4 linked regions of the Notamacropus eugenii genome follow. The protein of the gene in region 1 interacts with the protein of each later gene in a pairwise test. Links are inferred from orthologs where the notes say so. Each region holds a gene or a part of one and is shown in the gene's direction. Other genes may lie near its edges. The genes, in order: CDKN2D, NR4A2, C5H1orf94 and NR4A1.

Region 1 (6,627 bases):
GAAGGTGGGAGAGATGACCAGTAAAGAAAAAGGATGTAGAAACCAAGAGCGGGGGGGACATCCAGGTCTGATGAGTCTTGGCTTCTCTCCCCACCTCTGCCAGGCTAAAGGCCAGTTTAAGAAGCAATCAGTGGCCAACAGTGTGGAGATCGCGGTTCCAGTGCCCAGTGATGCAGATTCCCCTCGATTCAAAACCAGTGTGGGCAGTGCCAAGTACCTGCCTGAGAAAAATGTGGTTATCTGGAATATCAAGTCCTTTCCTGTGAGAGCTGGAGGAGCAGGTGGTGGGTGGGGTCAGGGGGCAGTGGGAGGGGAACAGCAGGAGTCCAGGAAACTGGCAGAAGGGACCTGGTTGGTTAGGTTTGGAGCGGTGGGAAGGGGCTGGACCCTGAGGAGGGGAGAGCTATGAGCACGAAATGAACCTCCTGGGGCTCATTTAGCCAACAAAATGAAGTGACAAGAGAACTTATGTCAGGGGAGACTGGGGTAGAAATCCCAGCTCTATTTTCTATCTGTGTGACCTTGATCAAACCCTCTATATACTCTGGGCCTCATTTTCATCTTTTTTTCAATAAAGGTATTGGAATGGAAGGTCTCCTGGGGTCTGGTCCAGTGCTAAAATCGATGTTCTTTTCAGTAGCCCAGGAGGGATCCCCTAGGGCACAATCCCACCCTTTCTTCTGCCTATTTTTTGTGTCTCCCTTCCTCACCATGCATCTGACCTTGCAGGGAGGAAAGGAGTACCTCATGAGAGCTCATTTTGGCTTACCCAGCGTGGAGAAAGAGGAGGTGGAGGGCCGGCCTCCCATCTCTGTCAAATTTGAGATTCCTTATTTCACTGTCTCTGGGATTCAGGTAAAAGGGAGTGGGGTTTAGGAAAGGGGATGAGGGAAAGATGAACCCAAGGAAATGACATTAGCAGGTTCCCTTCATTCATTCACTATACAAAAAAATGCAGAGCACTGAGCTAGGTGCTGGGGTGGAGGTGAGGCTCAATCCTTGCTCTCCCTCTGTTTACATACATGGCCAGATAAATAGGAGGTTGGGCATTACTTGTTTTAAGGGCATTGAAGAGGAGCAAACATGGTACTGTATGAGCATAGGATAGAGGAAAGAGCACCGAAACCCCGGTGTTAGTCTGTGTGTGACTTTGCTCATATTGCTATAGTTCTGGACCATAGTTACTTCATCTGTGAAATGCAGCTAGATAAAATCAGGGGTTCCTAACCCTTTCTGTGTTATGCATGGTCCATCTAGGCTTACTGATCCCTTCTCATGATAATGTTTAAAAATTCATAAAATTAAATACATAGGATTACAAAGGAATAACAAAGCTAGCATTTACATAGCAACTAAACAATTGCAAAGTCTTTAACAAATGACATAGTGAATATAGCACTGGGTTTGGAATCAAGAAGACTCATTCATCTTTCTGAGTTCAAATCCAGCCTCAGATACTTATTAGCTGTGTGACCCTGGACAGGTCACTTAACCCTGTTTGCCTTAGTTTCCTCACCTGTAAAATGAGCTGCAGGAAATAGCAGATCTCTCCTGTATCCTTGCCAAAAAGATCCAAATGAGGTTATGAAGACTTGGTCAAAACTGAACAACAACCAACAAATGTTATCTCATTTGGTCTTCACAACACCCTGGGAGATACTTGTTATTATTCTGAGGCTAATGAAGGCTAATTGACTCGCCTAGGGTCACACAACTAGTGTCTAAGGACTAAATCTGAACTCAGGGACTCCAAGCCCAGGGCTCTGTGCACTATGGTGCCACCTAGCTGACAAAGGAAAACAATTCTGTTAAAATAATTATCAAAATTTGTTTAAAAAAAAGAAAAGCTCATGGACTCCAGATTAAGAACAAACCTTTCTGGCTCTATCATTCTGTGATTTTGTGTGAGAGAGAAGATTTGATCAGAGAGATCGAAGAAATCTTCCTAGTGGAGATGGCCTTGAACCAGGAATCCCAATATGGGTAGAAATTTCATAGGCACAGAGAACATTGTGAATAAAGAAAGATAAGACGTGGGAAGGGACGATTTTTCTTCATGAGGCAGAGTGTGGTCTAGTTTGCCTGGAGTGATGAGAGACACCTAGATAAGAGGGAGGGGACCCTGGACTGTGGAAGGCCTTAACTGTCAAGTAGAGTTTGATCCAGGGGGTATAGGGAGGAACGTGACTGGACTTAACGTGAAAGAAAATTCTGGCCATGATGTTTAGATGGAGGAAGACAACAGAGGTAGGAATACATGTGTGATTGAATGTGTTGTGGCTGGATAAGTAGTTATGCCTACTGAAACAATTTTGCTGGCATCTTTCAGGTCCGGTACATGAAGATCATTGAGAAGAGTGGGTATCAAGCCCTTCCCTGGGTTCGATACATCACCCAGAGCGGTGGTAAGAGAATACCCCAGATTAGGGGGTAATAAGTGATTAGGGGTGTGATAGATGGGGTCCCTAGCTAGGTCTGGACTTTTCTCCTCAGAAAGTAATACTACTTTCCCTGTCTTCATAGATTAAGGATATTGGGAGGTAGAGAGGAGGGAGGAAAGGAGGTGTTCCCAGTCTTACTTTGAATTACCACTCTAAGACAACTGTCCCCTCTCCTTGTAGATTATCAGCTTCGGACCAGCTAAAAAAGAAACAGACCCTGGAGCAGCAGAGGCTGACATCTTACCCTGTGGACCCTCTGGCACAAAGATTTTTTTTGAAGAGTGTATTTGTTTGTGAGAGTGAATGGCCCACTTATATATGAGAGGCATCCCGTCTGTGACTGTGAATGGGAGGCAATCCTGTCCATTTAGGGGGCAGCTTTGACCCTTATTTGCTTGAGGGTTGCCTGTGATCCCTGCTTATGAAATCTGCCTGGTCTGTATTTGGGAGGGTGGTCATCCCTGGCCCTTGTTTATGTCTCAGCCTCTTCACCGTCCCTACTTCTGATCTGGGGGCCCAAGCCTGCAGGCCTCAGGTAGCTGAAACCTCTTCTCAGGTCGGGGTTTCCCTTACCGGAGAAAGGGGGGGGGGAGCCAGGGGTCTCCCTAGAGCTCTCTCCTTCCTATTTTTATATGAAGTAAAGGTGGGGGAACTGATTTATCTCCTCCCGCTCCCCCCGCCGCCCCAGTGCCTTGTCAGGAGAGCCTCCTGTGCCTTGGTCCCCCCGAGTTTTCCACCCTCCTGCACTCTGAGAGTGGGTTCTCTGTTTCTTCTCCCTGTCGAGCTGTAGCCTTTACGATTAAAGAAGGTTGAGACCCGATTACCCCACCGAAGTGAGTGACCCCATTTTCGTCCGCTTTGAGAGGTAAAGGAGCAGGAGAGAGACAGTGGCAGGGTCCTGGGGCTGACTCGATGAGAGAAGGCAAGGACGCTGTGATGGCGGACAGGACGCGGGTCTGAAGCAGGGGGCCTGGAATGGGGTGCTCCGGCCCTCAGTCTGGCTCTGAGTCCTGGTGTCGTTACCTATCGGGGTGCACGGCTCTTTAGTGCGGATATGGGGGGGTGGGAGGTCGGTCTTTCTGCAGGAAGCTAGAACTGGGTGAGGGTCTGGTATTCGAGCACAGTTAGGGTGGGTTCGGGCGCGCTGCGGGTTCCAGCCGGGTCAGAGTGAAGGGTGGCACTGGTCGCTGTCTGGGCCCCAGGGCGACCAAAGGACGGGCTCTGACCCGGACCCGGCTCCTGCTCCCTCAGTCAGTTACCTCGGGAGCCTCTTTCCCGCCTGCCACTAGCATTTGAAACTGAAAACCCCGCCATTACCGGTACCCTGCCGGTCGCCTCCAGCCGACCAATCAGGAGCGGCGCTGCGGCCCTCTGCTTGCGAAGGCGCCCCGGAGACGCGTCACCATTGGCCGGGACGGAGAACGGGGCGGGGTCTCGAAGGGTCGGGAGCCGGGCAGAGGGGACCGATATTAAGTGTCAATTCGTAAGAAAACAAATAATCGGCGTTCGGAGCGGCCCACGTGGGGGCGGCGGCTCCACCCCCTCACGTCCTCACTCCTGCGGCGGCGGCTGCCGGAGCTCAGAGTGAACCCCGCCCGCTCAGGAGGAAGAGGGAGGGTGAGTTGGGGGGAGACCCCAGGGGAGCCCGGCCCCCAAGGGGCGGGGGCCGGGCCGGGCTGCGGAGGCGGAGGAGCCGCAGGAAAAAGGAGTAGGATTGGGCCTCCAGTCGGCCCTCCCAGCCCCCTCTCCAGATCCTGGCTGACAGGTGGGAGGAGCCCGTTGGGGAGGGGTCCGGGTTTGGTTGCAGGCCGCCGGTTTCAGGAGAGACTGAGACGCCGGTGCAGCAGAGCCTGGGTCGGGCAGGCTCGAGGGGACGGCCGTCTGGCTCCCCCAGCGCTGCTTCGGAATCTCTCCCGGCGCTGGGGGCCCACCGCTCGCCTCCTGAGCCTGGGAGGCTGGGCTGGGCTGGGCTAGGGTAGGCGAGGCGAGGCTGAGTGGAGCGACCACACCGCTGCCGGGGAAGGCCGTGGCACCGTACCCCCACGGCCTGACCCCGCTCCGCGCTTACCCTCTGTCTCTGCTGTCGGATCCAGGCTGCCAGGCCTGTAGGTCCGAGATGTTGCTAGAGGAGATAAGCGCCGGGGACCGGCTCAGCGGGGCTGCCGCCCGGGGAGATGTGAACGAGGTGCGGCGCCTCCTTCATCAGGAGTTCGTGCATCCCGACTCCCTGAATCGCTTCGGCAAGACCGCCCTGCAGGTGGGTCTCTGGCCAGAGAGGACCACGGGGGAGGATGGGGCGGCTGCTGGGGGAGACTGCCTGGTGGCCAGGTATGGGTGGGAGGAAGGGGAAACTCCCCTGGCCCTCCTGCTCTCCCTTCTCTACCCCGCCTCGGGCCTGGATGCGCGGAGCCTCTCTTACGTTTGCCCGAGTCCCACACCTCTCCTCGTGTCTCGATTCTTAGGTCATGATGTTCGGGAGCTCGCCCATCGCTCTGGAGCTGCTGAAGCAGGGAGCCAGCCCCAACGTCCAGGACGGGTCGGGCACCTCCCCGGCCCACGACGCAGCGCGCACAGGGTTCCTGGACACTCTTCGGGTCCTGGTGGAGCACGGCGCCGACGTGAACGTGCCGGACGGCTCCGGGGCGCTGCCTATACACCTGGCTGTCCGGGAGGGTCACGCTGCTGTGGTCACTTTCCTGGCCCGGGAATCCGACCTGCATCACCGGGATGCCGGGGGCCTCACGCCGCTGGAGCTGGCTCGGCAGTGTGGAGCCGGGCAGTTGGGCCGTATCTTGGAGAGGCACCTTCCTACTCCATCGTTGTGAATGTGGGGGCCCTTCAGCAGCCAGGACAGCTGGATGCCACTTGGCACTGGTGGGACCAGCCCAGAAAGCCCCGAAACAGAGAACAGGGTAGGGTTGGAGGAGGGTCTGTGTCTCTGGTAGGATGAGAGTGAACAGTTCTCTTCCTATTCCATGCCCACTCGAGTGCCGAGGGTCCATCTCGTCCCCGCCCCCACCCCTACCCCGAGTTATGGTTTGTTGGTGTTTATTTGTGTGGTTATTTTTCCCCTTCGGTGTGATGTGAAACTTGGGGGAGGGCAAGGGCTGCAGAGAGCCAAATGAGCAACCAGAGACCGTCTAGGACTCTTGGCCCTAGCCAGCTCCTGGACACAGCAGGGAAGGTGGCCTGATAAACGGTTTGTTTCTCCCCCTCTAGCCCCAACCCCTTCCCTTCAGGCTGGCGCAAGCTCACGCGAGTTCTGGGCCTTTTATGATGATCTAGGGCAATGCCCTGTCTCTCCTATCCCTTCCGTGGTCCAGAGTGGCAGGAGGCTCCTCTTTCCTCCCACACTCTTCTCCCCACCCCCACCCAGACACCTCAGGGGATTTCTAGGTTCCCAGAAGCAGCTATCTTTTGGCAAAGCCACCTCAGGGGTGCTGTAGGGAAGAGAAGGGCACTACTTCCTTTTGCAAACCCAGGAACACAATTTAATTTGAGGGGAATCAAAATGAGAGAATGGTGGCAGGGGAGTATTCCATTTTCTTTCGTTGAAGGCCTATTTCCAGCTTCTTGTACAGTTTTTAAAAGATTCTATTTATTATGCTTTCTGAAGAAATGTTGTGTGATAATTTAATGTTTTTAACCATTAAATTAATATTGAGCATTCCTTGATGGACTAGCTTCTGCATCCTGGTTTTTTTTCTGCAGGGGGAGGGGAGTATCGAGGGAAGGAGGAATATGGTGGGGGGAGGGGCTTCGGTTTTCTGGTTTTGTCTTCAGCGCAGCGCCCAGGGAAGAGTTTCAATGAGTATCTGGGCCCGAGGAGGGAGAGGGCCAGCCCGGGAGGGCGGGGTGATTCCCAGGGTCCAGCTGGGGTTGGGTGGGGCAGTGGTTTGGGCATCGGGAACGGAAGGGTGGCAGGAAACCGCGAATGGAGCAAGAGCCCCCAGCTGTGCCCTCCGAGCGGCGCTGGGGAGGGGCCAGGACTTCCCCCGCACCCAGGTCCCAGTATCCCGGACCTCCGGACCAGCCAGCTCCAACAAGCATTTCACCTTTGAGCAGCTACGGGAGCCGGATGAGGGTGGTTAGGGTCTTCCAGGCCCCCGGGGACCGGTAGGAGGTGGCGTGAGAGGAGGCGGGGGTGGGGGTGGGGGGAGGGGAGGTGCGGCCGACGGTAGGGGCG
Region 2 (6,855 bases), on another chromosome or scaffold:
GCAGAAAATAAAAAAAAAAATATTTGTAAGTGTGTATGTGATCTATAGCAATTCTTTTCTTTTTAAAATAAAATTTTATAGTTTTTATTTACATGCCATACACCTTATTTTAACATGTGGTCAAGAATATAGAGGATAATACAGGAAAGTCACCTTTCAGGATTTTTTCCTGAAAAGTATTCTTGAAAAGGTAATGATAATTTTGTAATGCTTTTCTGATTAATTTCAAAAGAAGTCTCTAGTTGACTTAAGTATACAGACAACCCATTTTCATTCATTTATTTTACTCTGAAATTCTTTGACTTCGCAAAAAATGACGATGAATTTCTCATTTTCATGTGTCAATTTAAAGGTAAGTCTGATGCTTGACTCAAAATCTCATAATTGTCATTTTTAATTGAGTGAGTGAGAATACTTTGTGATGTTTATGTTCAACAGTCATGAAGGGCTGCAGTCATTTAAATGCAGAAGTTCAGTTCCATTTAGCCTAAAGCATCGTTTTAACATTTTCTAAAAGGTTGTTCAGTCCTGCATTTTGACTCCATTATATATGTGTAATTAAACCTCTGCACACAAAAGCATTCTTATGTACCAGCAAATACACCCACAGGAATCCTCTTCTAAACTGTAATTTATTTAAACATGTAATCATAGGATTTTAAAACATGCTTTCATTTTTCCAAACTATATGCCAATTTGAACTGCTTGGTGATAAAATGAGTTTATTACCAGCTAACATTTACCAAATACATGGTGAACTAAACATGAGCAGTATGGGGAAATGCATTGTAAATTCAATTCAATGTGCATCAGACTGTGCTCCCTTTATAAAAATATGTGTAGGTGTTTATGAATTTCAGTTTTTGAGCAGCACAGAAATTATGAATATTTGGGCCTGGTATAAACCTTTTGAGTTTTATGTGGCTTTTAATGCTTAAAAAAAAAGTTTGTGGCTTCAGGCCCCCTACTGACAGGATCAGTCAATTACAGAGATTGTTGGTTCTGATTGGACTTTCCCCTATCAATTAAATACTCAAATATATCTGTGCTGGGGAAAAGATTTCAGTTTGTTGGCTTTCAGCTCCAGCATCAGCTCTGATTGCAGTCTGAATGAGGCTGTACAGGAGCCCTTCTTTTGGACCACTATAGAGCCCCACCAAGTACAGGCCAACCAGCCTGACCAGTAATTGGTTTATTTAATAAACATTTGTTTACTTTACTCCAGCTTTCTTAAGTTGTGTTTTTAATGAATACCTCAGCCTAAAGGAAAATCCAAGGATTTGAAGACAGTAACTAAAAGTCAGTTAAAAACAGAAGAAAAATTATTCCCTACTTTTAAAAATCGCCATCATCGTAAAGGGTACTATGAAAGTTTACTTAACTCGATCTCAGTCATCACGAAGTCTTACAATAGGATGAAATTGAATAATTTTGGATACTGTTATGTTTCACTTTCTTGGACAGTGACATAAGGGACTCCGTGCACCTTTCAGACCTACTATGAAATTCACTTCCCTAATCGAAGATTTTCACTCTCTTGGGAGTAGAGGAGGCAACCGCTCAGGTTCTTAAACATTCCGGAGTGTGTTTTGTAATGGTAATGGAGGGAAACTAAGCTATAGGTTTGGATATGCGGGTCTGAGTGATGTGTCTGCAACCTTAAAATACTCCCGGTCCCCGTTTTTCCTAGGGCTAGATTAAAAAATAATAATTTGCCACCAAGTCTCCTACGTGGCTGCGCTGGAGTTTCCGATAGCCTTAAAATAGCTGGTGCTAGCCCTGCCCACAGCCGGGATCAATGAGAGTTCCCCTCCTCACCGTGCCCTGCCCCCTTGCACCAGGGGAAAGGGAGCTGGGGAGCACGCCGCTGGCTCTGCTGTGGCTGCTATTTTTGGCCGCGCCCGGCTCGGTGCGTCAATGACTGCGCCCCTGCGTCATGGCCACCCCCTACTCCCTCCCATCTCCCTCCCTTCCAAACTCTCACTTTTTCCCTTTCGTTCGCATTGAATCTCTCCAGCCCACGGGGTGGCTGACGCTACAGAGCTCATGCTAATGAGCTATTCTTCCTGGTCCTACCCCTATCCCCCTCCCCCTCGCTACAGCCGACACTGCTTCCCCTCGCTCCCCTTCGGTCCCCTCACTCTTCCCCGCCTTATTTTTTCTCGCGCCTGCTTAGGGCACCGCGGTGTAGCTGCGGCGGCGGCAGCAGCCGCCACCGCATCTGGGGAAACTTAAGGTGGTCACGTAGGTTTCCCCTGGGCTGCCGGGTAGCAGCGCCAGCGGCTTTCCCAGACTGCACGCAGTGCTTGGGACCGAAGCTCACCGCCCGGGAGAGGGCAGGAAGGGTGGGGTGAAAAGGTGAAGTCTGGAGTGCAGTTTAGGGCTCAGGGAAGGCGACACTGGTTTAATCTTGACTGTGCTTTCTTCTAATAATGAAAATACCAATAATACGTAGGGAGAGGGAGGGTACAAATGGGTCACGGTAGCAATAACGAAACCTTGCTGCTGGAGAAGGGAATGGGAGCTGAAAACAGTCGTTCAGAAGAAAGACTGGATTGAGATTATACAGATACTCCCAAATTTTACTCGCAACTAATTCAGAGCCCGAACTAAATGGCCTAGGCTTGGTATCCCTTCCAGGTTGGGACGAGCGGACTTCTTCAACAAGTAAACCTCTGTGGGCTTTGGGACTCGAATCGCTGTGCTTCTCTTAAAAACACCAGCGTTTCCTTTACTAGAAAGCATTCCATGTGCTTCCCTCCTCCCTGTTGCAAGGTGCTGTCTCTGTTCTCAGTCCCATTTCAACCTATTAGCATGCAAAGCAGAGCTCAGGCTGTGACAGCTTTCTGGTGTTGCTCTAAGAGCAGTAACGCGCCGAACCCAATACATACGGACATGCATGCTCTCTGGACTCCTGTTGATTATACCAAGGTTTTCTAAGGCAAATTGTGTACGTTACTTTTTTTTTTTTGAGGAAGAAAAAGGAGGGGTATCATTTCCCACACCACCTAGTTTAGGAGCTATGCAGTGTTTACTTAGTGTCCTATGTATCTAGAGAAATGTAGTTTAAAACATACTTGGGGAGAGTGCAGCTCTGAAGTTGAAAAGAATTAACCTGAGGTGCAAGTATAATCACCTTTCTCTAGGGAATGCACACCTGTTGCATGAAACTGCTGCATTGTCAGGACCGGGGGAGCGATATTTCTCAAATAGATTCTGGTTTTATAAGAGAGGATTTGGTCCAGTGCCCATCCTGTCTTGTTTATCCCAACCCCCCTTCCATACCACAGTCACCACGTCCTCCCTCCTACACGTGGGGATGAGAGAAGAGGGCATCACACAAAATACGACTTTTTTTTTTTCTGCAAGAGTGGAAATTATTGGAGGGGGAAGGGAAGCACTGAGAAAGGGAAACCCAGATTTAGCAGTCCCGTGCAAAAGGCTTCTGTGCACGGTTCAGCGCCTGGGGATGAGAGCAGAGGTGTAGAGCGTGCGGGGGGTGGGAGGGAGGGGGGAATTAGAACAATGAAAGTACATATCGCCCGATACCGTGCGCCTACAGGTGCGGGTTACCTGGCACACGCATCCTCCCTCAGCCATCCTTTCCTTGCCTTTCTTAACCCCCACCCCCATCCCATCTTCCCTTTTGTTGGTAGTCTTACACATCTGGGCTGCCAAAACTATTTGTGAATTGGGGAGTTTTGGAGAAGGTGGGGCGAAGTGAGCTTTACTGGCTTTAGAGGCAAGGGTGGGCAGGTTTCACCTATTTCGGAAAAAAAAAAAATTAGAAATGAAAAGAAAAAAAGCCCAACTCGGCTAACAAGGTGAACCCAGAACGGTTCCCACCTTAAAATCTGCCCTGCTTGTGACGTCAGGTCGGAAATTTACCAAAGCGAGAGCTGGCCAACTGTATGGGGAGAAACAGCCCTAAGGAACTGGGATTGGGCAGCCTGCACTGACGTGTGCTGACGTTTGGAGACTAGGTGCATGTTGGCTGTGGAATACGGAGCCCACATAAACAAAGGCACATTGGAGGGAAGGGCCAGTCTGTCCGGCTGCTCTCACTCTGCTACATGAGTACCGCACTTCCCGAGCAGCGCTGGTAACTAGCAACTTCTCGGGACCGATTGTTTTTTTTTTTTTTCCTTTCACCGATCTAACCCACCCCCTCCCCTATCCCCCCGCCACCCCACCTCCCGAGGAAACTGCTCTTCAAGACAGTTGAATGAATGAAAAGAGACGTGGAGAACCATTAAGTAAGTCTCTCTCTCTCTCTCTCTCTCTCTCTCTCTCTCTCTCTCTCTCTCTCTCTCTCTCTCTGTCTGTCTGTCTTTCTCTCTCTCTCTCCCTCTTCCTCTTTCTCTCCCTCCCTCCCCTTCCCTCTCCTGTGGGTATGGGCATGGGATCTGTGAATTGTGCGTTCCGGAAAAAGAAGTGAAGAAGGGAAAGGGAGTCCGGAAGGGAGATGAAAGGGAAGTTTTGTGAATTGCTCCAGAAGGCGTTTTTCCTAACTACACGTTTGGTGCTAGGAACAGTACATTCTCGGTAGCAGCTTCTAGTCTGCTAATTGGGAAACGCGGAAGGAATACTTCTTACCGTTCTAGGAGCTGCTGTCTTCTCAACTTCGACTTTGAAATTTCTACTCAGTCTTCCTCCATATCGTTTTTTTTCCCTTAGAGCAGATGTGAATTGGTCGTTTGGACACTGAATCTCAAAGGTCGTGTGTGTAGTAAGGCTTTAACGCTCAGGGAAAAGTGACAGGAGGAAAACTTCAGTTTATGTGTTGCTTGGGAACTGTATCACCATGGTTAGCAAACGTGCTGGTGTTTAGAAGGCTGCTCTTTCAGTATAGGTGCTGTTAGTACGGTATCCTCTTAGTTTCCCCAAATTTCTGTGTTCTGACACATATGGCTCATCAGTGAGAGAGAGGGGAAGGAAGAGAGAAAAGGACAGAAGAGAAAGCAAGAGAAGGGAAGAAGAGGGATAGAGAGATTAAGATCACTTCTCCAGTGAATTTACAAACCTGATGTTAACAAAGATAAGTCACCTTTTGGTGGGGTTGGGGGAGTTAATTGCACCTTCTCTCTCCCCCACCCCCCATCTAGTCTCTCGGATTTCCAGTTGTGAAATAGGAAGTCAGAAGCAAGATAGCTAAAACTGAAGAAGAATGGATATCTAGCTTTATTTTTTTTTTCATTGACATACTTGTACTCTCAGATGCCTTAAAAATGGGAACATCTGAAAATTACCAGGATTGTTGTCGTGTTTCATTAAAGAGGGAAACAACTCAAGCTGGTAGTAGAAAAGGGGTCATCTTGCCATATGTTTAAATGCATCCAAATGAGTCAAGGACTGTCTTTGCTGTATTGCTCTTTGCTTGCATTCTTTTTGCAAAAATAAGCTTTCCTTAAATGTACATTTCAAAATATGCACAAGAAGTTTCTTAGAAATGTGAAAAGTAAGTAGCCTATGTCCTTGAAATAGATTAGTCATTTTCATACATGTAGAGGGGTTATTAGCCTCTTTCCAATTATACAATGTAGGCCTGTAGCATACTTTGTAACTTTGAAGGTGAGGTGGAGATTAGGAGGTCAGAATGGTTTTTCATATTTTTATGTTATTTTTCTTTGGTTAGCTTATTATTACATTTAAATTTGCCTACTGAATACCTCTCACTTGAAGGTCCCAAAGTGACTTTTTACAAAACCCTGGTCTTCCTTTCATCCTGTGTCTGAATAAAATTATGATAGTGACAACCCATTCTCTTTTACCTATTACAAGGGGTGGTGGTGGTGTCAATTCATGACAATTATAAATGTTAAATGACAACTTGCCATAAGTTCTTCTTTTCCCTCATAAAAGAAAAAAAGAAAAACCTTTATGCAACTAACTATATGCCAGATTGTCATAGGGAAAAACATTTTTATTGGTTTTAATTATATTTCTTCCACATTCATGTGTCATAGGTTTATTTATTTAAAGGCCATACTATGTATTACAGTGAAATATGCAGGTTGGTGTAGTTGCTTGTGTCCAATAAATCCCTCCACAGTAACCTGAACATATTATGTCTGTATTTCAGGGAGCAGGCTGGACAGACTGGACTATTCACTTATTTTCTAATATCTTGGGAACTTTGTCCTCCATTGAATTACGACACTGTCCACCTTTAATTTCCTCGAAAACTCCTGTAACTCGGCTGAAGGTTAGTGAATTTGATTGCTTTTCAGTTTTTCCATTCTTCTCTCTCTGACACTCCTTCAAGACCCCCTCAGGACCCCTAGAACCTTCAAAAGCAAAGTCATTGCACTCAGTAAACCAGTCCTATTACTCGAATGCCACCTTCAGAATAGCTTAGCACCTGGCAGGTTGCTCCAGAACAAGCGACCTGAACACATTAAATAAGAGGTTATTGGGTGGGTGGGTGGGGTTGTAAAGGAGACACAATGGAAATAGGGGCGTTTCTTGATCCTTTATATCCTACCTGTCTTTCTTCTTTTAGATCTCCTCCCCCCACCCTCCCTTTTTTGAAGGTCAGCGCCTGCAACACGGATTGTCTTTCCGCTCTTTTTCCTCTCCCTTTTCCTCTCCTAAATTGCAGTGCTGTGTACAGTTTACTTAATACGGAACCGCCGTGTGGTTGATCCAGGTGTGCAAAAGGTGTACAAAAGCAAGGGAGAAAGTGTTCACTTGACCAGGCTGAGCGTGTATCACCCTGTTTCATTTCCAGCCATGCCCTGTGTTCAGGCTCAGTATGGGTCATCGCCTCAAGGAGCCAGCCCAGCTTCCCAGAGCTACAGTTACCACTCTTCGGGAGAATACAGCTCCGATTTCTTAACTCCAGAGTTTGTCAAG
Region 3 (7,369 bases), on another chromosome or scaffold:
GCTGGTCATTGGATTCAGATGGCTCTGGAGGAGAAGCAAGGTTGGTGACCTGCACAGCCCTCCCTCACTCAAAACAAAGTCAAGTGCAAGTCATGTCATCATTTCTCCAATGACATAGTCTTCTTTGGCAAAGAAGGATGAACACACACACACACACACACACACACACACACACGTATTTCCACTGGCTAAATATCAGTATCTGATGTTGAACTATTTCATATTCTAAGACCTTTCTGGGAAGAACTTTATTTTCCGGGTCTTAAGTAGCAATGGGTGCAGCACCAGAAGGGGCAACTGCAAAGCTGCAACTCCACAGGGGTTGCTTCCCAGGATGACGGCCGAGGGAACTGGAGTAAAAGCTTTGTCATGTCCAGGGCTCTTGGATGTAGGGTCCTAGGCTGTCTCCATCCAGTTCTAAGGAGACATGGTAGTCTAGGTGGTGGTGGTCTGACTAGATTGGCACCCTCTGCCTCCCATCTCTCTCTCAAGGTGCCTTGCTGCTTCAGCTAAGCTAGCTTGTCCATCCTGAGTGTTAAGGATGACTGGCCCCATCTACATAAGAGCTGCTTCTTCGGATGATGGTTGGGAAGGCTGGGCTGGAAGATCTGGAAGGAACTGCCACTCCCAGGGCCCCTGTGTCTACCTGCTTGTAGGTGGCCATTGGTTAGTAGCTGTTGCTGGCCATGATGAGGAAGGTAGATCCTCTCCTCACAATGACTTCTCCCTTCCATGGTGCTTGTGGAGATGGGGCTGGAGGCAGGTCTGGGTGTTCTGCTATTCCCAAAGTTCTTGGGCTCAGGGACCTAGGCTATCCCCATCAAGATCTGAGGGGCGGTGGTGGGTAAGATGGTGGTGCTGGCCTGATTTTTCTGGCATATGTGGCTTCCCATATCTCTCTCAGGCTTACTCCTTCAGTTTTTTGTGCTGCTGATCTGAATCACAGAGGGATTTTCAATACCAATAATTCCCCATACCTATAAAATCACAAATCTAGAACAAACAATAAAAAAAGCAAACAACACCCTAACTCTGACTTTATCATGAAAATCTGTGAGAATAGGATTTGATAACACAAAGGTCTGTTTTCCAGACAATTTTGTCAGAAATCCACCTATTCTGCAACTGGAAGAACTTTTAGTTTACCATCTCTTTTGCGCCATTCCCCTCCTCCCATCAGAGCTCTCCTGAACCTCCCAGGGCGCTCAGCAAAGATACGCTAGGGTTTCAGTGACTCCAGAGCACAGAAAAGAGAACATCAATGCCGAGCTCCTAGTTTCTCCTGAGAAACAACCAGGCCAACACAAATACTGCATCTAATGAGCACAGACACATTTTGTTTGCAACTAACTTTTGTTGTTTCCCCTCCTTCAATTTTTAATGACTCTGGCAACAGTGTTAGGACCATTATTGGGAGAACCCAGGAGATGGGAGGAGATTGATTTAGATCCTGCAAGAGTGAAGGGAGGCGGGAAGAGGTCCTGGCTTCCTCACTAACTTGGGGAGAGCAACGCTCAGTGAGGGGATGAAGAGAGCAAGATGAGTCAACAGTTCATAGAGAAGCAAAGGCTCACTTCAGCTCTTTCCTTTCCCCCTGCACTCTCTAGTCCTGAAGCGTTTGCTCATAACTCTCTATTCTCAATCGTTTCAAGCTTTTGTTATTCATTCAGTCACCATATGATGATACAAAGACAAAATTGATGAGGATTCTTGTCCTTGAGAAGCTTATAATCTCAGTAGAAATGACAGTATGTTCATATATCTCTATCTCTATCTGTCCATCCATCCATCTATCTACATCTATACACACAGAGTAAATGCAACATAACTGGGGTGGGGGGGGGGGGAAGGATCTGGAAAAGTTTCATGTAGAAGGAATCACCGTGACCTGAGCCCTGAATAAAACCAAGAATTCCAAAAGGAAGGAGAGCACATCACCCACAGAGGCCAGCATGGAGCAGAAATAGAATGTCGTGTATGAGGAGCAGTAAATGGCCAATATGACTGAACTACCAAGTGAATGAAAGGGAGCAAAGTCTGGAAAGATGGGAAGAGAATTTATGAAGGACTGTAAATGGCAAACAAGAGCTGACATTTGATCTTAAGGGGTATAGGGAGTCATTGGAATTTCTTGAGGAAAAGAGTGATGTGGTTGAACCTGTGCTTTAGGAAATTCAATCTGGCATCTGTGAGGTAGACAGAGTAGAGAGACCTGAGGCAGAGAGACCAATTAGAAGGCTATGGCAATAGTCCAGGGAAGAGTCAGTGAGGGCCTGCCTGTGCTAGGGGAGTGGTTGTGTGTGTGGAAAGAGGTTTTGTGAAGGTAAAATGACAAGATTTAGCAGCTGATTGAGATAAATGGAATGAAGTAGACTGAGGAGTGGAAGATGACGCTGATGATGAGAGTCCGGGTGACTGGGAGGTTGCTGGGGCACTGGACAGTAATAGGGCAGCTTTGAAAAGCAGGCTGGCTCACTCTTCACCCTGCATGACTGTGCTACTGTCAGGGCCTGCTGGGGGAATGCAAACTCATTTTAAAATAAAAATGAGCCAAACAGAATTAAGCCAATAAATCTGATGGCCTGCATCACATAATGCGTTGCCAAGCCAAAGAGGACCTTTGAGGGTTGTCGGGGCTTCTCTCCTGCATCTTTAGCAGGAATAATCTAGTAGAATAGAAGGTTGGCCCAAAGGGACTGACTGCTAGGGCCCCTCAGCTTTGTCTATCGCCAAGTGGTTCTGGTGAGAAGACCAGTGGTCGTAGGAACCCTGATTTGCGGATGGGGTTTGAAGGAGGGGATACATCCACCTCTGAAACATGCTTTGGACACCAGCACTGGGGAAAAAAGGGGATGGGGGAGAATTGTAGGTTGAAGTGGCAGAAGCAAAGAAAGAGGTAAAGCCCCCGAGGCTATCCCTCATTTCGTCAGCAGAGCCAGTGTTTCTGAAATTGGAAGAGTGGGGTAGAACCTTTGCAGTTGGGGCTGAGGAGGGTCATATCGTGGCTGGCCAGGCAAGGGAGGCCGTCATCCGGCCTGTTGCCCCAAACTCTCCCTAAAAGTCCGAGGACTTTTTCTAGTGCCCTCCTTATCCCCAGGTCTCCGGCCTCGTCTCCAGGATGGGGTTGCGGGGACAGTAGGAGGATGTGCACTGGGGCGGTAGGTGATACGGCAGGGCAGTTGGCTCGAGAGGGTCAGGAAAGGCAGATGAGGATGGGCGAGGGTCTGAGGTCCCCATAGGACCTCTGCCCGCTCCTTGCCTCTTCAGCTGCATCGTCCCCACAGCAGCTGCCTCCAGGGGCGACTCAGTTCCCCCAGGAGGGCTGAGGCAGGAGCGGGATGTAGACGGGTCCAGACCAGACTCCTCTCCCTGCCCGGGCAGGTAGAGGCCCCAGATCGCAGGAGGTGGGGGGTTTGAAAAACTCGTGCCAGAATCTCACTGCTGACCACAGGTTGGGGGAATGCGGGCGCTGAAGGGCCGAGAGTGTGACCGCAGACCCGCGTGCGCGGAGTGGAGCGCAGGGCGCCGCTGCTCTCTTTCCTGCTCCCTGAAACCCCAGCGTATCTGCGCTGCGGGGGCTGGGGGGGACAGTTAAGAACTGCCGGGTTTTCATTCCTGACAGTCAAGAAGAAGTGTTTCAGTAAAGGAGGTTTGGCGGAAAGGCAGCGGAGGGCTCTCCATTTGTCTCCACTCTGAAGACGGGGGTCTCTGTACTGCTATTGAAAGCACACTAGCTTGGGAGTCAGAAGACATGGGTGCGAATTACTACTCTGTTACCTACCTGTGTGCTCTTGCTTAGACACTTCTCCCTGGGCCTCGTTTGCCTCATCTGTAAAATGAAAAGGATTGACTTGCAGATTCCCTGGAGCTCTGAAACCTGAGCTGTGGACTTTTTCTAGTGCCCTCCTTATCCCCAGGTCCCCGGCCTCGTCTCCAGGATGGGGTTGCGGGGACAGTAGGAGGATGTGCACTGGGGCGGTAGGTGATTCGGCAGGGCAGTAGGCTCGAGAGTTGGCAGATGAGGATGGGGGAGGGTCTGAGCCCTCTCTCCCACCCCCACCCCCTTCCTGAAGGGATCTCGTGCCTGGACTGCCCAGTTGTGAACGCCTCTGGCCAGGAGAGGAACGGAGAAAGGGGAGAGGGGTGGTGTTCCATTACTGAACTAACGTGGGGGAATGGAGGAGTGCAGGGCGGATTATCCGGGCTTCGGCTGCCCTATTTCCTTGTCCTACCGGCCCCTGACTCCCCCTCTCAGCTTGTCTCCAGTTGTTATTCTGCCGGCCCAGTTGCCAGGATCCTGTGCTCCAGGGATTCCACGGTTACTAAGCTACTAGGTTTGTTGTCTTTTATTTTAAAATATTTTCTTCTGGGGGAGGGGGGAGGGGGCAAAAGAAAAGGAAAGAGCAAATAAAAAAAAATCAAAACAACCCCTCCCCCAGAACACACACACACACACACACACACACAGACACAGACACACACACGCAAACACACATAGACTTGTGAAACAATTGTCCTTGGAGGAGAGAGAAAAATCTGACCCCTTAACTCCAGTATCCCCGACTCGATTTCTGGTGAATGAGGGGTTGTGGATGGTCTGTCTTGGAGCCCGGGGCAGGCAAAGGCCCTTCTGCAAAGAGAGGAGGATGATGGCCAGTGGGAATGGACTCCCTTCTCCCACGGTGGCCAGCAAGCGCCCATCACCCCTGGGTCCGTTCCCCAGGCATATCTGGATTCACCAGGACACGCCTCAAGACAGCCTGGACAAGACCTGCCATGAGATATGGAAGAGGGCTCAGGGCCTCCCAGAAGCCTTCCAGCCTAGGACAGGATCAATGGTACCAGCACAGCCCACTTCTGCCCCACCTAGTGCCCTCCGAGACCACGACAGCACTTTCCAGGATGAGTGAGTGTTTTTCCCCTGCCATGACAGAAACTTGGGCTGGGGGACTCTGAGCATCAGAGGTCTGATTCCTTGGGAGGCAGTTGCTTATGGAGAATATTTCCCTTGGCTCCATATCTGTAGCCACTCTATGGTGGCTGACCTAATGTCCTCCCTTCCTCATGCCTCACATTTCCCTCTAGGCTTTCCAGTGCCAACAGATCAGCACAGCAGGTCCACAAGTCTTAGGGCCTGCAAGAAATAAAGCTTCGGGAAGAGTTGTGGCCAATGATGGGTTGGGGCACCTTTTGGGGATTATTCTGGGATAAAGGGACAACTTTTCTTCCTTGCCTGCTAATAACACTTCTCTTCCCAAAGCCTTGGATACGAGAGGCAAGAAAGTTGCATTAATCAGAGCTAGTATGATCTGCCAGTCCCAGAGGTCTACCTTCCTCCAGGATTCCCAAGGTTCTCCTCAGAGATGGTTTAGAGATGAGGATTTCTTGGGAGATGCTTTTCAGAGATGTTCACTTTCCTTCCCACCACATAAACTGATCTTCTTGGTGTGGAGCCACATCTGGAATCCCCCAGCTTGGGAAGCAGCTGTCCCATTCAGCCGCTACAGAAACCTCTCCAAAAGCACACATCAAAATATTTACTGGGAAAGCCCTGACATCGTCAAAGACCATAATAGAAAATTAACACATTCTAGAAGATGGCTGTAAATATGCCTATTTCCTGCTGGGAAACCCTGTGACTGGGAGTGCCAAGAGTCTATACTGGGGCAGAGGCGGAGGGCAAGAGGAAGCAGTGAAACAAGAGCTGGAGGATAGGGAGGGAGAGGCAAGAGAGAAAATGAAAGGCTATGATTCATGCCCCTATTTAGTCTTTCCATAAGTTTTCTGTCTTCAAAGGGTGTTGCAAACCTGAATTAATTACTCCTCGAAACATCCCCGCCAGGCAGATAATGCTGTCCCCATTTTACAGATGGATTAAGTGTTAATAATTAAGTGCTAATTAGAGGCTAAGTGATAATTAAGTGTTGCAGGCCCCAGTGTATGGTTCTGTACAGTGGAGAATGGCATTGGGGAGTTGGTGGAGTCTTTGCTTGCTAATCCAAGAAGCACCCAGGCAATGACCAGCTGTTAGCAACTGCTCGTAGGCTCTTGCAAAGCTTACTTGTGGATCCCAGAGAACTGAAAGCCCTAAGCACATCAGTGGGCTGAAGATGCAAACAACTCAGCGGCCTCCTTTCCCACCTCTCCTGTTCTGCAGTCCTTGTCAGAGAGGAGGAAGTTAAAGGCACTTTAGTCTGTTCTCAGTCTGCCTCAGCTGCATTAGAGAAACAAATATCGCTAGCTCGGTGCAGCTGAACAGTACTTAATGCAGAGCTCCCGGCCAGTCTGCCTGAATACTGAGCTGGTCCCAGGCAGAGCATCCAGTTCCTTCATTTTACAGAGATGGAAGCAGAAAGGGCAAATGATACGACTAAGGCCCCACAGGCATGTGGTATAGCCTAGATTCAGACTCTAGCCCTCTCACTCCAGGGATCTTTCCACTGAAATATACTTCCTCTGGATGACTAAGGGATGAAGTCTTCCTACTTCAGATTAGGCACTTGCCACTGGCAGAAACAGACCTACAGGCAACATCTAGGTGGCACTTATCCACTTGGGATTAGCCATGGGTAGCTTTTAATGTGGGACTTGGTTTCCCCAAATAACCTGTTTCTTTCAAGCTCTTCTCTCCAATCTTCAGTGTTGTATGTGGACCTTGAAATTGGACTGGGGTGCAAATGTATGGGTGTCAGAAAATCTTCACTTTAGTTTGGAGTGCGCCACTGATTACCTGTGTGAGCAGGGGCAAATTGGTAAACCCTTTTCTACCTCTATTTCCCCTTCTTTAATCTGAGTGATGAACTTGGTCTTATTTGTCTTCAGGGCTGTGGTGAGGATGATAAGGGATGAGAGGTATAAAAGTACGTTGGAAATTTTAAGTAAAAAATTGTATAAAATGCAAATTATTATACTTTTAATTGCTCAGATGTGTCTTTTACAATCTCATTCTAACTGTTCAAGAATAAACCAAGTATATCACCATAGTATATCTAGGAATCTGCTGGTGAAGGAGAAGCCCCATCTTTTGAAGTTTATTTGAAACTATGACAAATCTTCCAGTTGCTGGAGTTATCTGGCTTCTGTGCAGGAGGTGAATGGTTTGTGTTTATGAATCCCAGTTATGGAAACTTTCTGACTTGTGTGTATGACCTTTGTTCTGGAACTGTCTGGCTTATCCATGAACCTTGGATCTGGATGTCTAGCCCATGTGCATGAAGCCCAGTCAGGAAACTGTCTGGTTGGAGTATATCACATTCATTAATTTATCTATTCATGCATTCATTCATCCATATTCCTGTCTATTCATTCATCTGACAAAACATCATAATCTTGTCTGAAGTTTAAGAGCTAATATGGTATTTAGGTTCTA
Region 4 (6,905 bases), on another chromosome or scaffold:
GGCAAAGATGAGAAAAGATGGAGGAAATAAATATTAGGGGACTCTGGAAAGACAGACATACCAATACATTGTTGATGGAACTGTAAGTTGGTCTAACCATTTTGGAAAACAATTTAGAATTATGCTAAGAAAGGGGTCAAAATATTCAGCACTCACTGCTGGGTATTCATTAAGGGCACATGGACACACACATGACACACACAATATTCATAGCAGCACTTTTTGTGGTAGCAAAAAATTGGAAATAGAACAGATGTGTGTTGATTGGGGAAAATCTAAATAAATTATTGGTATACAAATGTAATGGAATGTTACCGTGTCATGAGAAACAATGAATATGAAGAATTCCAAGAAATCTAGGAGTGCTTAGATGAACCGAAGCAGAATAGAATAGAAACAATATTCATTGTGGCTACAACAGTGCAGATGGAAAAAAACAACAACAAAAAAGCTCTCTGAAAATCATATAATTATAACAACCAAACTTACTTCCTGAGAAGAGCTGAGAAAATGTGCCTCCCTCCTTTCTTTGCACAGATGGGGAGACCATGAGTGTGGAATATTGCATATACTGTCAGACTCAGCTCGTACTGGTTGGTTAGACTGAACTACTTTTTTTCCTCATTTAAAAACTGTTATTACAAACACTAGCCTTCTGGGTAGGGGATAGGGAAGAGATATACTCTGAAATGAAGATGGTGTGAAAATATGTATCAATAAAATATGAAACATCAAAAGCAATGAAATAAAAAATCAAAAGAAAAAATCTGTTCCTATGAAATTTTAACAAAGAATTAAATTCTGTGAGAAGCCCCCCCCCCAAAATATTGATTCAAGCTGACAGCATCCCATCATGGGTGTTATGGGGGAGATCCAGAGGAAGGAGGAACAAGTTTCCTGCCTTTTGAATTTCCAGACCAAGAAAGAATCCCGATAAGCCAAGTTAGGCTTGGAGAACTGAATAGCTCAGTAAGATAATTAAGAATTCAAGTGCCATTCATTAATATAATGGAACATGATAATGCAATTTAAGATTGTAGGAGGCATACTGAGAAACCTGAAAAGATCTATTTGAAATAATAGGGATATTGAACTTGAGTGGGCGAGGGATAGGGGTGGTACCCATAATTTAATTGGTTTAAGGAACTCCATGGTGAGGAAATAATACAAAGTGAAAAAAGGCTACCAAGAAGGATGTGGTATGAGTACATTCTAACTACAAGGATACAAAAGGAAAAGGGAATGAGAATGATTAGTCAGAGTGAATGAAAAATTATGATACTTGATGCACTGAAATTAGTTAATTTGAATGTAAATAGTTGCTAAGCATCTCAGTTGTACTGAGGCTCATTTAATCTTATTTTTATTGTTTTGGTTTGGTTTTATGCCTCCTTTATTTTGGATGGTAATCTTTGAATAAACATCTTTTAAAGGAACTAGAAAGTACCATCTGGAGTGGAACTGATAGGTCTCTTGCTCGACCTTCTTTCTCATTACCTAATCCTGGTCTATTATTTCTGATTTTGCATTATGTTCTTTTCTCTGAAAGTAAATCCTAGAGAGGCACTCATGTTCTGGAGTATTCAGAAGTGGGGGCTAGTAAAGGAAAGAGGGAGCATATAACAGGCGAGTCCATCCAATTAAAAAGGGATGGCAAGAGAAAAGTGAGAAATTAATTAATTAATTATGGGTTTGATGAAGTGGGTATCTGAAACAATGGGGTCCAGCGGATTTAGGAGGTAGGAAGATTCAAGAGGTCCATTGATCTGGAAAAGGTTTGGGGGAAAATGGAAAGGTGAAAGGCCAGAGGCAACACCCCATCCCTAGTTTGGAAAGGCCTAAGGCCAGGACAAACTGAATCTACTCAGAATATCTAGTTTGAATTCCCTTCCTCCACTCAGTAACTGTGTGACCCTTCGAGAGGCATTTAACTTATCTGGTCTTCAGTTTTTTCAACTGAAAAATAAGGGGGTCGGGCAAAGTGACACCTAAGCTGTCTTCTAGCTCCCACACTGGGTGATTTTTCTGTAAACTCGCTTTATGTGGTGCAACAAGTGCTAGGATTGATTGGAGAAACCTCAATTGAATCCCTGGGAGCTCATGAGATCACCAAGTAAAATAGCATAGAGCCTGGGTTGGCAAACTACGGCATGGGCCAAATCCAGCCTTTCACCTGTTTCTGTGCAGCTCAGGCCCATGGGCCTCTCTATCCCTGGGGAGAGTAAGAAGAGAAAGTGACTCAGCGAAGAGCCCTGGGGGATACCCACGGTGACCAGTCCTGACCCAGATTGAAGATCCAGCAAAAAAAAAGACTGAGAGGGAGGGGTCAAATTAAGTAGGAGGAGAACCAGGACTGAGAGTCATGAAAAGCTGGGGAGAAGGAGAGAAGAGAGCATCAAGGGGGAGAGCATGGTCACCAGTCTCAGGTGCCACAGAGAGGTCAAGAAAGTTAGAAACTTTGGAGACAGCAATTTCAGTGGAAAATAATGAGGTTAGAAGGCAGACTGCAGAGTTAAGAAGAAAGTGAAAAGAAAGGAAATGGAGGCACCTATTATACACTGCATTCTCCAGTAGTTTAGCCACAAAGGCAGGGGGGAGGGGAGGGGGCCCAGCTGCAGGAGGAAGAGGGGAGAGGAGGAGGAGGGGGAGGAGGTAAAGGAGCAAGAGGGGAGGTGGAAGGGGAAAGGGGGGAGTGGAGGAGGACAGGTATTTCGGGAGTGGATGCATTAGATCTCTGAATCTAGAGATTCCACGAGGCACAGGGAGCAAGAAAGACCAGGTCTATCTATTAGACAGCAGATAAGGGCTGGAAATCAGTGAAGGTTTAGTTTAGAAAGTCGAAAGCGAATTCTAAATGAATGAATTAGCATTTTTTAAGGGACTGTGATGCACCAGCTTCTGGGGATGCATATCTACCCGGACTTGCGATTTCATTGGTATAGGAATGCAGACCCCCATCTTAGGTACCACGGTCTGGTCCGAGAGAATCGCCTGAGAGGGATAAGATCGTGCGATTAAGAGAGCTACTATGTATACATCGTGCAATTAAGAGAGCTACTATGTATCCAGGGTCTGAAGGCTGGCCGAAGCCTCCACGCACGCAGAGGAGATCTGTAGCTCTCTTCGTCCTCACCCCACGCCCCCAAGTGTTACTGTCTCCCTTTTATCGCTGAAGAAACTGAGGCAGAAGGAAGTGAAGTGCCTTGCCCGGGTCCGAGGGCTGGAAGGGGCTGACGGTCCCAGGTCCCGACTGCTTTCCCGCGGCACCAAACACACTTCTCTGCGCGATACCTCGGATCGAGGGAGGGCCGCCAGGAGCAGAAAGCGCTCGCTGTCTTTGGAGACCAGGGCCCTGGGTTCGAATCCCTCCCTGTTCACTCTCTGGGTCTCAGTTTCCCTCCCCTGTCTGCAGCTAGGAGGCGGCGGACGGCGCGGGATCCGAGCCTTTCCCAGCTGTGACCGGTCTGCCTCAGTTTCCACAGCTGTAAAACGGCGACGACGGCCGCAGCACCCCGCCTCCCGGGGTGGTCGTGAGAATAAAATGGATTAACATGGGCCAACCTGCTCGCTGCTTCACCGAGGGGGGCAGGGGCACGTGTGCCACCTGCCCGGGCGGGGGCGGGGCTCCGGGCGCGCGGGGCTATTCCGCCCGGGAGCCGCTATTTTTAGCCCATTGAGGCGGGCGACGCTCCAGGGGCAGGCAAGCAGCCGCCACCGCCGCCGCCGCCGGGATTCCGGAGACGTCAATGGGCGCGCGCGTCACTCCTCCCCCGCCGGCCTCCGGGGGGAGGCGCGCTGCCTGCCGGAACAGCCGCTCGCGCCCAGCTCGCGCTGGGGAGCGGGGGGAGGGGCGGGGGGAGGCCCGGGAACAGCCGGGCCGGGGGCTCCCTTGGCTCGGAGAAGGAGGAGGAGGGGGCCCATGGCGACCGCGGGGCGGGCGTGCGGAAGGAGAGTGAACCGCATCGAGGAGCGGGCCTCGCACCCCCTCTGGGACCCCCGCCCAGGGTTGGGGGCCCGTGTCTGCAGAATGAAGGGCGTCCCTCCCGGGCGGGGCTTCGCGCCCTGCACAGCCCAGCTCGGGGAGCCCCAGCGGGCCAGGTGAGGGAGGGGGCGGGGCACGGACTGGGGAAGCCGGGCTGGAAAGTGGGGGCGGAGCCCGGCCGGGGGCGGGGGGCGGGGCCGCCGAATGGGCAGGAACTTTCCTCGGGAGGGAGCGGGGGAGGGAGGGAGTATTGTCGCGGTCTGGGAGTTTTTTAGGACTAGAATCTGCTTGTGTTTATTATCATTATTGTCAATATGGAGCATTCTAGATTGTTTTCAGATTTGCAGACCGCTTTTTACATGTTATCTACATATTACATAATACATGTCATACGTAGATAATATATTTGCATATATTGTCTAATATATTACATGTCGTAATATGTAGATAATATGTTTACAGATTTTATCTAATATATTACATATATTAACCCAATGAGGTTGCACTGTGAAGTAAGTGCTATTATCCCCATGTACAGATGAGTAAACTAAGGCGGAGATTGGAGTGGTGACTTGCCTAGGATCATATAGTAAGTATCTGAGTCGGGATTTTATCTCCTGACTCCAAGTCTACCACCCAGTGGGGGGGGGGTTGGGAAGGGAGAAGGTAGATAATACCGTCTTGGGAAACTTGGCAGTGCCCAAGGCACATTTCCTAGTTATGTGACAAAAAAGGACAGTGTGGTGAACCTCTATTCCCTGGGCCTCAGTTTCTCACGTATAAAATGAAGATAATCATATACTCCCAGGAAAGAGTGTCCTGCATGCTCCCTGAAACCTGATTATATTTTGGGTTCTGCATGAAAGTGGAGTATGGACAAACTTGATAACCTAGATTAGGTTCCTGCTGGCAAAGATCACCACCATTCTCTCCCTCCCCCCCTCCCCGCCCCAACCTAGGAGGGGAAAAGGCACCTCTACCTCCACCCCAGGTTAAGCTATGTAGGCTGCCCACCTTCTCTGCTACCTTTGGACTTAAAAGATTTTCCTAAAGCATTGAGAGATGGTGAGCTGCAGTATGTGGCAGAGGCCAGGCTAGAACCTGGACGGGTCTTCCTCATTCCAAGGCCATGCTGCCTATCCAAATGAGTGGAAGAGCACTTATTTATCACTTTCTGTCTGCAGTGCACACACGTGGCTATATGCTGGGTAGGCAAATGCAAAAAGAAGTGAGTTTTTGCCATCAAAGTTCTCATATCACAATAGTAGGAGACAATACACAATACATTGTGTTGACTGAGAAAGAGTTTTTCACAGAGGAGTCACAGGGATGTTGATGGGTGTCCTAGAGGCAATCAATTGACACATTCTTTTGAGGAATGGTGGTATAGATTTGATTACTATTCTCAGAGTTAGTTAGAAACTTGGGGAGGAAAGAATGGGCCATTTTGATGGCATGCAGATAGATGGGAAGTAGTCTGGTGTGTCTGCGTCTGGGCTAGATGTGGTGAATGCTCACCAATTAGAAGCCCAGGGTCTGAAATATGGGAAGAAATCTGATTATCATAGAGAGTAGGATGCTACCTTCTACCAGGGTCTGAAGCCTAGAAGCCTAGGCTGAGAACTTGAGATCTAGGTCAGAGGTGGAGACTTGAAGATGATGATGATGATGGATGACAGCTAGAAGTTGACAGGTGAAAAGGTCCATACAGGAAAGGAATCCCTCCTTCAAGACCTTCAAGATCCTGTCCTTAAAGAGGGAGCCCCTTCCCACTTTTGGACAATTCTAACTTGTTTATCCCAGTGTTGAGCCTAAATTGGTCTCCTTGCAAAATATAACTTCTATCTACTGCCATTGACTCTACCCTCTGGGGTCCAGCAATTCACATACTTGGAGACTGCTATCATGTCCTCCATCCCCAGCTCCCTACTTCTTCCCTTTCCCCTTCCACCCTCCCCCAGTCTCCTCTTCTCCAGGTTAAACTGGGCATTCCCTTCCATTAATCTCATATGCCATGGACTCAAGACCCTTCATTATTCTTTGGTTTGACCCAGGCAGAGTAAAATGGTATCATCATCTCCCTGTTCCTAGAAACTATTTCCCTCTTAATACAGCTCAAGATTGTTTCTAGCATTTTTTTTTTTGACTGTCCATTACACTGCTGACTCCTCCTGAGCCTGGAGCACCCTGATCTTTGTTCAGACAACTATTATACATCCTTATCTCCCTCATCTTTTACTTGTGAAGTTGATTTTTTGGCACCCAAGTGGAAGACTTTCCATTTATGTCTAGGGCCTTTCACTTATTCCATTCAGTTCAGTGCTATAGGCTGATCATTTTGGATCCTGATTCTTGTCATCACCTGTGTGAACTCTTCTTTCCAGTTTTGTGTTGTCTGCAGATTTGGTGAACATAACATCTGTTCCTTTATCCAAGTCATTGATCATATTGTTAAGAGGCATTGATCCCTGGGGCACTCCATTGGAGACCTCCTCTCACTTTGACATTTAGCACTACTTTGGCTGTCCAAAGTACTGTAGATACTTCTGCTTTAATATCAACCATATCCATCTTCTTTGCAAGAAACATGTGAATAGTTTATCAGAAGGTTTGTTTGTTTTTTTTTAATCTAGGTAGATTGTATCCACAGCATCCCCCACTTACGTAATCTCATCAAAAAATACAGTGAAGTGAGTCTGGCATGGCTGTGCTTGGGCCTTTGTAATCCCTGATTGCCTGATCCATCCATCATTTCTTTAATGATCTGTAAACATGGTAAATGCCCATCAATCAAGAAAGCTCAAGGTCTCTGCCTTTGGCCCAAGGTTGGAGCCTTGGGTTCCCAGGGAAGGTAGAGGGTACTTTTCCTTCAAGATGACTGAGTGCTTCTCTTGACATTGGAGCCCTGGGTATGTTGTGTTTC

What was found.
Region 2: the proteins of CDKN2D (region 1) and NR4A2 interact in binary tests that used the Homo sapiens proteins (3 or more experiments, as listed by UniProt). The two-hybrid records come from large-scale screens. The link is inferred for Notamacropus eugenii from reciprocal best matches to the Homo sapiens genes CDKN2D and NR4A2.
Region 3: the proteins of CDKN2D (region 1) and C5H1orf94 interact in binary tests that used the Homo sapiens proteins (3 or more experiments, as listed by UniProt). The two-hybrid records come from large-scale screens. The link is inferred for Notamacropus eugenii from reciprocal best matches to the Homo sapiens genes CDKN2D and C1orf94.
Region 4: the proteins of CDKN2D (region 1) and NR4A1 interact in binary tests that used the Homo sapiens proteins (3 or more experiments, as listed by UniProt). The two-hybrid records come from large-scale screens. The link is inferred for Notamacropus eugenii from reciprocal best matches to the Homo sapiens genes CDKN2D and NR4A1.

The regions. Positions count from the first base shown.
Region 1 is NC_092875.1:79,627,036-79,633,662, forward strand, and holds CDKN2D (cyclin-dependent kinase 4 inhibitor D), read left to right. Parts: upstream 1-3,970; 5' UTR 3,971-4,058; intron 4,059-4,534; 5' UTR 4,535-4,557; coding exon 4,558-4,698; intron 4,699-4,903; coding exon 4,904-5,266; 3' UTR 5,267-6,116; downstream 6,117-6,627. Other genes in the region: AP1M2 (AP-1 complex subunit mu-2), read left to right, coding at 104-262, 730-855, 2,330-2,405, 2,622-2,644. UniProt on the Homo sapiens protein: Interacts strongly with CDK4 and CDK6 and inhibits them.
Region 2 is NC_092876.1:215,131,723-215,138,577, reverse strand, and holds the start of NR4A2 (nuclear receptor subfamily 4 group A member 2), read left to right. Parts: upstream 1-3,838; 5' UTR 3,839-4,256; intron 4,257-6,082; 5' UTR 6,083-6,205; intron 6,206-6,601; 5' UTR 6,602-6,732; coding exon 6,733-6,855. UniProt on the Homo sapiens protein: Transcriptional regulator which is important for the differentiation and maintenance of meso-diencephalic dopaminergic (mdDA) neurons during development.
Region 3 is NC_092876.1:85,488,724-85,496,092, reverse strand, and holds the start of C5H1orf94 (uncharacterized protein C1orf94 homolog), read left to right. Parts: upstream 1-4,369; 5' UTR 4,370-4,592; coding exon 4,593-4,906; intron 4,907-7,369.
Region 4 is NC_092874.1:224,525,887-224,532,791, forward strand, and holds the start of NR4A1 (nuclear receptor subfamily 4immunitygroup A member 1), read left to right. Parts: upstream 1-3,891; 5' UTR 3,892-4,098; intron 4,099-6,905. UniProt on the Homo sapiens protein: Orphan nuclear receptor. Binds the NGFI-B response element (NBRE) 5'-AAAGGTCA-3'. Binds 9-cis-retinoic acid outside of its ligand-binding (NR LBD) domain.